Ovis aries: one gene and its partner. The protein of the gene in region 1 interacts with the protein of each later gene in a pairwise test. Links are inferred from orthologs where the notes say so. Each region holds a gene or a part of one and is shown on either strand. Other genes may lie near its edges.

What was found.
Region 2: the proteins of MIA2 (region 1) and TTC23L interact in binary tests that used the Homo sapiens proteins (3 or more experiments, as listed by UniProt). The two-hybrid records come from large-scale screens. The link is inferred for Ovis aries from reciprocal best matches to the Homo sapiens genes MIA2 and TTC23L.

What each region holds. Positions count from the first base shown.
Region 1 is NC_056071.1:46,989,695-46,993,518, reverse strand, and holds part of MIA2 (melanoma inhibitory activity protein 2), read right to left. Parts: intron 3,488-3,824; coding exon 3,349-3,487; intron 2,706-3,348; coding exon 2,604-2,705; intron 1,597-2,603; coding exon 1,536-1,596; intron 999-1,535; coding exon 963-998; intron 1-962. UniProt on the Homo sapiens protein: Plays a role in the transport of cargos that are too large to fit into COPII-coated vesicles and require specific mechanisms to be incorporated into membrane-bound carriers and exported from the endoplasmic reticulum.
Region 2 is NC_056069.1:39,454,126-39,457,949, forward strand, and holds part of TTC23L (tetratricopeptide repeat protein 23-like), read right to left. Parts: intron 3,623-3,824; coding exon 3,497-3,622; intron 1,152-3,496; coding exon 974-1,151; intron 1-973.

The DNA of each region.
Region 1 (3,824 bases):
AACTTATCTAATTTCTTACTCTAAGCTGAAATCTCCATTCCAAGAAATATCCATGCCTAAAAATAAAAATATCTTCCAAGCTTCAGTACAACAGTGATAATTTAACAGTTAACATTTACTGAATGCCTACTATACGTCAGGTACTTGACTATCAGAATCATCTTATTTAATGTCATCACAATAACTCTGAAATAGATACTAATAATATCTGTCTTTAGGTAAGGAACAGGTGGTAGGTGATAGAACCAGGATATCAACCAAAACAAGCTGACTCCGGACCCCATATTCACCTACTGTGCAAATCGCTTCCCCTTGAAGACTTTGAGGGGCAAGTCTTTCAAAGGCCAGCTGTTAACAACAGTTCTTCATGTTAGAGAGACCACCCTGATCATTACTCAAAATCTATATAGTTATCACTTCCTCATACAGTTCCTCCACAGCAATGACATGTCATTTCTCATGATGGTCTTTTTCTTACTGTGTAACAAGTAATTAAAAATCAGAAAATCAGATACCCAAATTATATTAATATAATTTTTAGAACTAGGATGGGCTTTAGATTATTACTTCAGCTAGTCCCATTGTTTTACAGATGAGTAAACAAGCCTAGAGAATTTTAAAAATTTGTCCACAAGTAATTAGCTGGCAATACACTGCCTGAAAGAAGTCCATGAACATTGCCTCACCTCCCCCAGAGTATAAGCCCCAAAGAGTAAAGCTCCTTGCAAAGAAGTAATATGCTAAAAGCAGAGAAGGAAAAATCAGATTTTGTGAATAACTGTGTCATAACAAAGTATTTAGTTCATAAGGGATGTAATTCCACTACTGGTGAAATTAAAAGAAACTGATTTTTTTAAATACTACCTTTTTTTCTCAGTTATAAAAGTGTACCCTTACACTGCGCATCTAAATTAGGAAAAAAAACAATTTGACAAAAAAGCCTAAGAAAATTTAATACTTACCCAATTATCATGTGCTTTTTTCTCGTGAGAAATAACCTGAAAAAGAAAAGTCATTAAAATACTACTAATAACTATTTTTTTCTGTAAAAAACATTCACACCTACCACTATGATTTAATGTAAAACTCACAAACTCAGAAATAACTCAATCATCTCTAAAATGTCAGCAAGTATTATTTTAAAGCAAATTTTCATATACATATGATCTACTCTATTATAGTTCTAAAAGAAAAACAATGTAAAGACAACTGAAATTTTTGTCTGGTACATTTCTGTTTTACACAATAATCAATTACAATAGGAGGTACCAATTAAGAGACAACTAGCCAGACTGGTTATATATATATAGGACCCTAATGCTGCCATATGTTTATTTCTTTATGCAACTCAAATTCCCAAATCAGCAGTAGTTCACATAGCAACTTTAAACAATGTCTCTTGGCCCAGAATCTTTGCTCCCTAGAAATGTTCCGCCACACGTGCAAAACCTCAAGAGACTAACTACATTCCTGCATCAAAACAGGTATGAATTCAAACAAATCACCACCATTTTAAGTTATACACACACACGTACCTGTCCTTTATAAGAATGAACAGTTCTCTCCAACTCTTCCTCTAGATCTTTGGCTCGCTTTCTATAAAGAATAAGCAATTATTCTACTTAACATAAACTAAGAAATGACAAAACACACTATGTCTACTGAAAATATTAATTAATTTAATACCTAGACTGCTTTGTTTCATGGAACGCTAGAACTCCACATGTTCATCACCTTTGGTGGTGCTGATTTAGTTGCAAGGTTCTAAAGCATATTTTTTTCCTGATATAATTTAAACATTAGGTAAGCTTTAGGAATACTACTACTTGAGTTTACCTAAGATTTAGATGGAATACTGGCTCATTTTCATTTTTAAGAAGCATACTGGGAGATGTATTCAGATGTCTATAGTCTTAATAGAACTCTAGGAAATTAAAGATCTGTGAGAAAGAAAATGCTATTACCTTTATAAGACTAAAAAGACTTAAAGTTCATAAAACTATAAAAAGACCTTATAAGACTAAAAACTTCTTTTGGATAAAATTCAAGCTTGCTCTTCCTAATGCAAAATGAAGTATCACAACTATTTGGAGTACTGCTGAATCTTATCACTTATTTTCTCTAGGTTTTTATTATTTCTATTATTTTAGGATCGACTATTTCAGTAAGGATTGAGCTAAGGTAAAAACTAGATTTATGGTCTTATAAACACTTCTTCATAACTTTAATTAAGGCTTATTCTTCTTTTTGCAGCATACTTCTCAAATTGATTAATATTATATACATTCTTCCCCATGTGAACCAAAGAGGAAAGACCTTAAAATTAGTCACATTCATAAAGTTCTTAACTTTAACATAATATAGGATTGCCCATATTCAAATCCAACTAATCTAAGAGATTTTGAATTACATAGAGTAAAAGAAAAACTTTTTTTTTCCTTTTTATATTTTCTGTATAATCACATAAGAGCAAGACATCTAAAGGAAAAATAATTAAATTAAGGGCATTTTTTTTTAATTGCTCTATTATTTTTTTCTGCTTTTGGGCTTTTGTATGGATGCCCTTCCTACCTCAAAAAGAAAGGGGTGAAATATATTCATACCTATAGGTCTCCAGCTCTTCAGCTGCATGGTTGATCTTTTCATCAGCTTTGGAAAGTTTCTCCTCTTTCTCTAATCGGTAATTTTCCTCCATTGTCAATTTCCTTAAAACAAAAAGTGTTTTATTTCTGTTATTGTATGTCATAAAATAATCAAAGGTATATTTTTAATTATATCACAACTGGTGATTTATTCTACTGCTTCCCATAAAGCAACCTGCAAATATCAATAAAGACATCACATGTAAGAAAAAAACAAATGTACCTGAGTGTGGAATTTAATATTATAGACTCAAATTGTAAAGCACCTTATCCAATACAGTACTACTAATACAGAAGCTTTAAGAGTTCACCATTATCATTTATATTTTTATCACTGAAGAAAAAATGTTTCAAAATCAAATAACTGTCTTAAAATAAACTGATGAAATGCAACCCAATCATAAATTAAGAACTTTGAATAACCACATAGTGAAAGTGAAAGTTGCTCAGTCGTGTCCAACTCTGTGACCCCATGGACTATACAGTTCGTGGAATTCTCTAGGCCAAAATACTGGAGTGGGTAGCCTTTCCCTTCTCCAGGGGATCTTCCCAACCCAGGGATCAAACCCAAGTCTCCCACATTGCAGGTGGATTCTTTACCAGCTGAGCCACAAGGGGAAGCCTAAATAATCACATAAGCTGAATGCAAAACATTTTTAAGCTTTTTTATTTGCCACTCAATGGAGTGACCAACATAATTTATTACCTGTGAAGTATCATCTCATTTTCTTGATATAGTTCAGTCATTACTTTAAGTTTCTGCTGAAGTTTTTGAGTTTCACTTTCGAACTGTGTATTTTCTGACTGTAAAGACGCTTGTTCAGTCTGGAGATTTTTAATACACTCTACAGAAAAATTTTTTAAATCACAATTAAGGGAGCAAATATTTTGAGATATACATTAATATTTTATAAAAATAAAAATTACAAAAACTAATTATTAATAAACTAAATTCTTTCCAACAGAAAATGGATATTTTGTTCACTTTAACATGTTAAGAACTATATAAATTATTATAACTTTTTTTATTATTTAAGGATTTCCTAAAAAAAAATTCTAAAACCTTGAGTACTCTTTAATTCTAGCATCTAATTTTCAGTCTAGTAGACAAAGTCACTAAAATTCTCAAAGTTTTGGTGATGAGGATTTTGACGGCAAATACTTTAGCCTAATATTTTCTGT
Region 2 (3,824 bases), on another chromosome or scaffold:
ACTTACTTCATATGCTTATTTCATGAAATAAATGAACTAATATAGCCTCAAGCGCACATGGTAAAAGCATTCCATACATTTGAACTATTATTTTTGTTGTGGTTGGGAAACCCTGATTATATACTGTTTTATTCATTCTAAACTGGACTGCTGCTTTAAGGGAGTCTCAGACACACTGGCCAGGCTTTCTCCGTAAGTAGTGGACTCCCTGCCTTCCGGGCAGCATTCCCAAACACCTCTCCATTGTGATGTCAATAACCTGGGATTTCTGGATTGCAGGCAAATGCCTTTTCTTCAGTAGCAGACTGCTGTCACATGCACTGTTCCAGGGCAGTGCACTTTTTCTTGCAAAATAGGAAATCCAGTACTATGATCTGATCTCAGTCATGGGAGATACCTGAAGCTGTGGGCACGGTTCCCCGTTGAGGATAGAAAAGGTGAATTTAACCAGCAGTTTCAAAGAAAGTTTTAAGTACCTGATACATAAAGTGCCCTACACTGTTTAAATTATGATAGACTCAACATTATGTTTCGTTTTCCCCTCACCATCTGTCAAATTAGTTACCTCCAAGCAAAACACCATCTTGGTGGTTTAACCTTAGATTGGAAATTCAACCAGCTGGACTAGTTTATAGGACAAATGAGAGCATTACACCAAAATATCACAAATTTTCATTTTAGAAGCCTTTGCATTTGTTAAAGACGTCAACTCAGTTGCCCCTCTGGCTATTTCCCTCAGCTGCCTCTTCCTGGCACAGACAGAGGTGAGGGAAGCCAGGAGGGGAAATGCTGTGTTAGATCAGGTCACACAGCAGACAGGCCCGCCGTGAGCCTGTGTTCCCTGCCCAGAGCTTGAGGAAGGTCTCTTGTGTGGATCTGGAGGAAAATCGATCCCATCCCGTTTCTCCCTTCTGAGAACCAGGCCTGCGGCCAAACAAAGCCTCCTGGCCTGGACTTCAGCCAACCCACCTACCTGGTGCAAGTACTGGATGGCTTGCTCGTGGTTCCTCCTCAGCTGCTCGATCTGAGCAATTTCCTGGTAAAGACTGACCAGATCTGACGTATTGTCACCCTTATTGGCAATAACATTGTCAACTGCCTTTTCAAAGTATACCAGCGCAAGGTTTAACCTGCAGTTGGCCAAGGAGGCTCTGGAAGAAAAGGGACAAGGGTGGAAAGTCAGAGAGAGGTGACTTGCTCTGCAGACACAGAAGGAACTTTCTAAGAACCAAACAATTTGGCCTTCACAGGCTGATCATCTGTGTGGGTGGCTCAAAGTCCAGCCTTGCCGTAAGCACACTCCTATTAACCAGCATTTTACCCACCAGATTTCACTGACTACCATTTCATCAAACCCATTAATATATCACATTAGGCTAATTTTATAAAAAAGCATATGGAAAAAATGGTGTCCAGCAGTTCATAAGATGGGATAATTTACCCCATAACAAAGACTTTCTAAAATCAAAATAAAATTTTATTACATCTGATTCCTTCTCTTTTAGGCTAAAGCAGGGGTTTTCCTTTGTTTTGTTTGATCTAGTTTAATTTATTCTTCCTCAGTTAAAAATAAGACAGGATAGGGAAAACAATGTACGTATTTCCCCACCAAAAGAGGGATGATTAAATAAATCATGGCACATCACACAATAAAATACTTCAGACATGAAAAACTTTAAATGTGCTAAGTTGAAAAAAGTTAGAAAACTGTACTTAAAAATATGATCCTGACGTGCATACACGTAAAGCACTTAGAACAGTGTCGAGAATGTAGTTATACTTTTGTAAACATTCCAACACTTAGAAGAGTGCAGGCACAAAACAGGTCAACTGTGTGGAGTGGATGAATGAAATGTACAAAGTTATTCTGAAAGAGGAACAAGGCTATCTTTCACATAAGCACAAAAATCTAAGTCACTGCCCCGTGTGTCAGCAGGAGACAGTCACTGGACTCTCACGTATGGGCCTGAGGACTTAAGAATTGTTTCTGACTCAACTCTGGACATGCCAACATCTCCCCGCCATTTCCCATTTGACAACTAGATTCATAGCTGTTTAGAGGAGGCAAGTATGACTCATGTAGTTCACTTACTTTACCATTCCATCCTCTACCCTACCATGCCAAGTGCTTACAGTTCTGGAAATGGATTGTTTTCAAGGATGTGAAGATATTTGAAAAATCTAGGCAACAGTAAACTTTTTATTATTCTTTTTTTTCCTCTGATACTCTGATGGGTCCATTCTCATATCTAAATATTCTTATTCTCAGAGGATTCCTAACTGTAAAATAGTTAAAAGTCTCATTCTGGCTTGAACAAATTCCATGAACTTTGTTTCCTTATGGAATACAACTTTCCTTAAAAAATGCATGTGCTATGAATAACTCAAGGACCTTCAATATATTGTTCTCATTAAGTGTTTCTTCTTTATCATTTAAGTTGTCATATTTAATGACAAACTGAAAGTGAAAGTCACTCAGTTGTGTCCGACTCTTTGTGACCCCATGAACTATACAGTCCATGGAATTCTCCAGGCCAGAATATTGGAGTGGGTAGCCATTCCCTTCTCCAGGGGATCTTCCCAACCCAGGGACTGAACCCAGGTCTCTTGCATTGCAGGCAGACTCTTTACCAGCTGAGCCACAAGGGAAGCCCAAAAATACTGGAGTGGGTAGCCTATCCCTTCTCCAGGGGAGCTTCCCAACCCAGAAATCCCAGAAATCGAACCAGGGTCTCCTGCATTGCAGATGGATTCTTTACCAACTGAACTATGAGGGAAGACCACTTAATGACAAAAGTAGGTGGCAATTCAGAAAAAAAAAAAAAGTAATTTTAGAGTAAGTAGGTGAGGCAGCACAAGGAAGGGCTAAGAGTCTGTACGTTCAGACCAAGTTCCAATCCAATACTTAAAGCTTATCTCCTTGGATGGTTTCTTTATCTTCAGCTCAGTCTCTCTGCCCTCTTTCTAATGAGATAAGTAATTGCACCAGCTATCTCAGGGGTGGCTATGAGGATTAAATGGGAAAGAGCACAGAAAACTTAGAACATGGTATATGCATTTGGGAAACATGAGCCTCTTTTACTATTATTTGAGTCTGGTTCTTTTGCTCTAAATATTTTTCTCCCCTTATATACCAAGTACAGGACAATCATGTAATTGCGAGCTTTAGTCATAAAAATGAATATCCATTGGAAGGACTGATGCTGAAGCTAAAGCTCCATTACTTTGGCTGCCTAATGTGAAGATCTGACTCACTGGAAAAGACCCTGATGCTGGGAAAGACTGAAGGCAGGAGGAGAAGGGGATGACAGAGGATGAGACGGTTGGATGGCATCCCCGATTTGATGGACATGAATTTGAGCAAACTCCAGGAGATAGTGAAGGAGAGAAGCCTGGTGTGTTGCAGTCCATGGGGTTGCAAAGAGTCGGACAAGGCTTAGTGACTGCACAAAAACAAAGTCATAAAAATCCAAGCTTCTCTAAGCCCAGATCTCACCTGCCCAAAGCGATTGTTAAATCTTTCTCTGAGACCTGTAATCCACAAGTGCCTCCCTTATACAATTCTCTCAGCTCCTTCATGTTTCTCTCTGACTTCTGCAGGTTGAAATATGCCTCTCTGCCAGTGAAACAGTCAAGGAAAGTGCCAGGTACACAAACGCCCCCACTGACCAGGGCAGAGTTGGTGAGCAAACAAAAGGGGCCCTTGGGAAAATGAAACAGTATCTGGGAACACACACTTCACTCTATTTTTCATCTGTACGTGTTGTCAAGAAGGGAGGATTCTTCAGAAAAGGAACGGGGCCCTGGGTGTCTTGTGGTGTTGC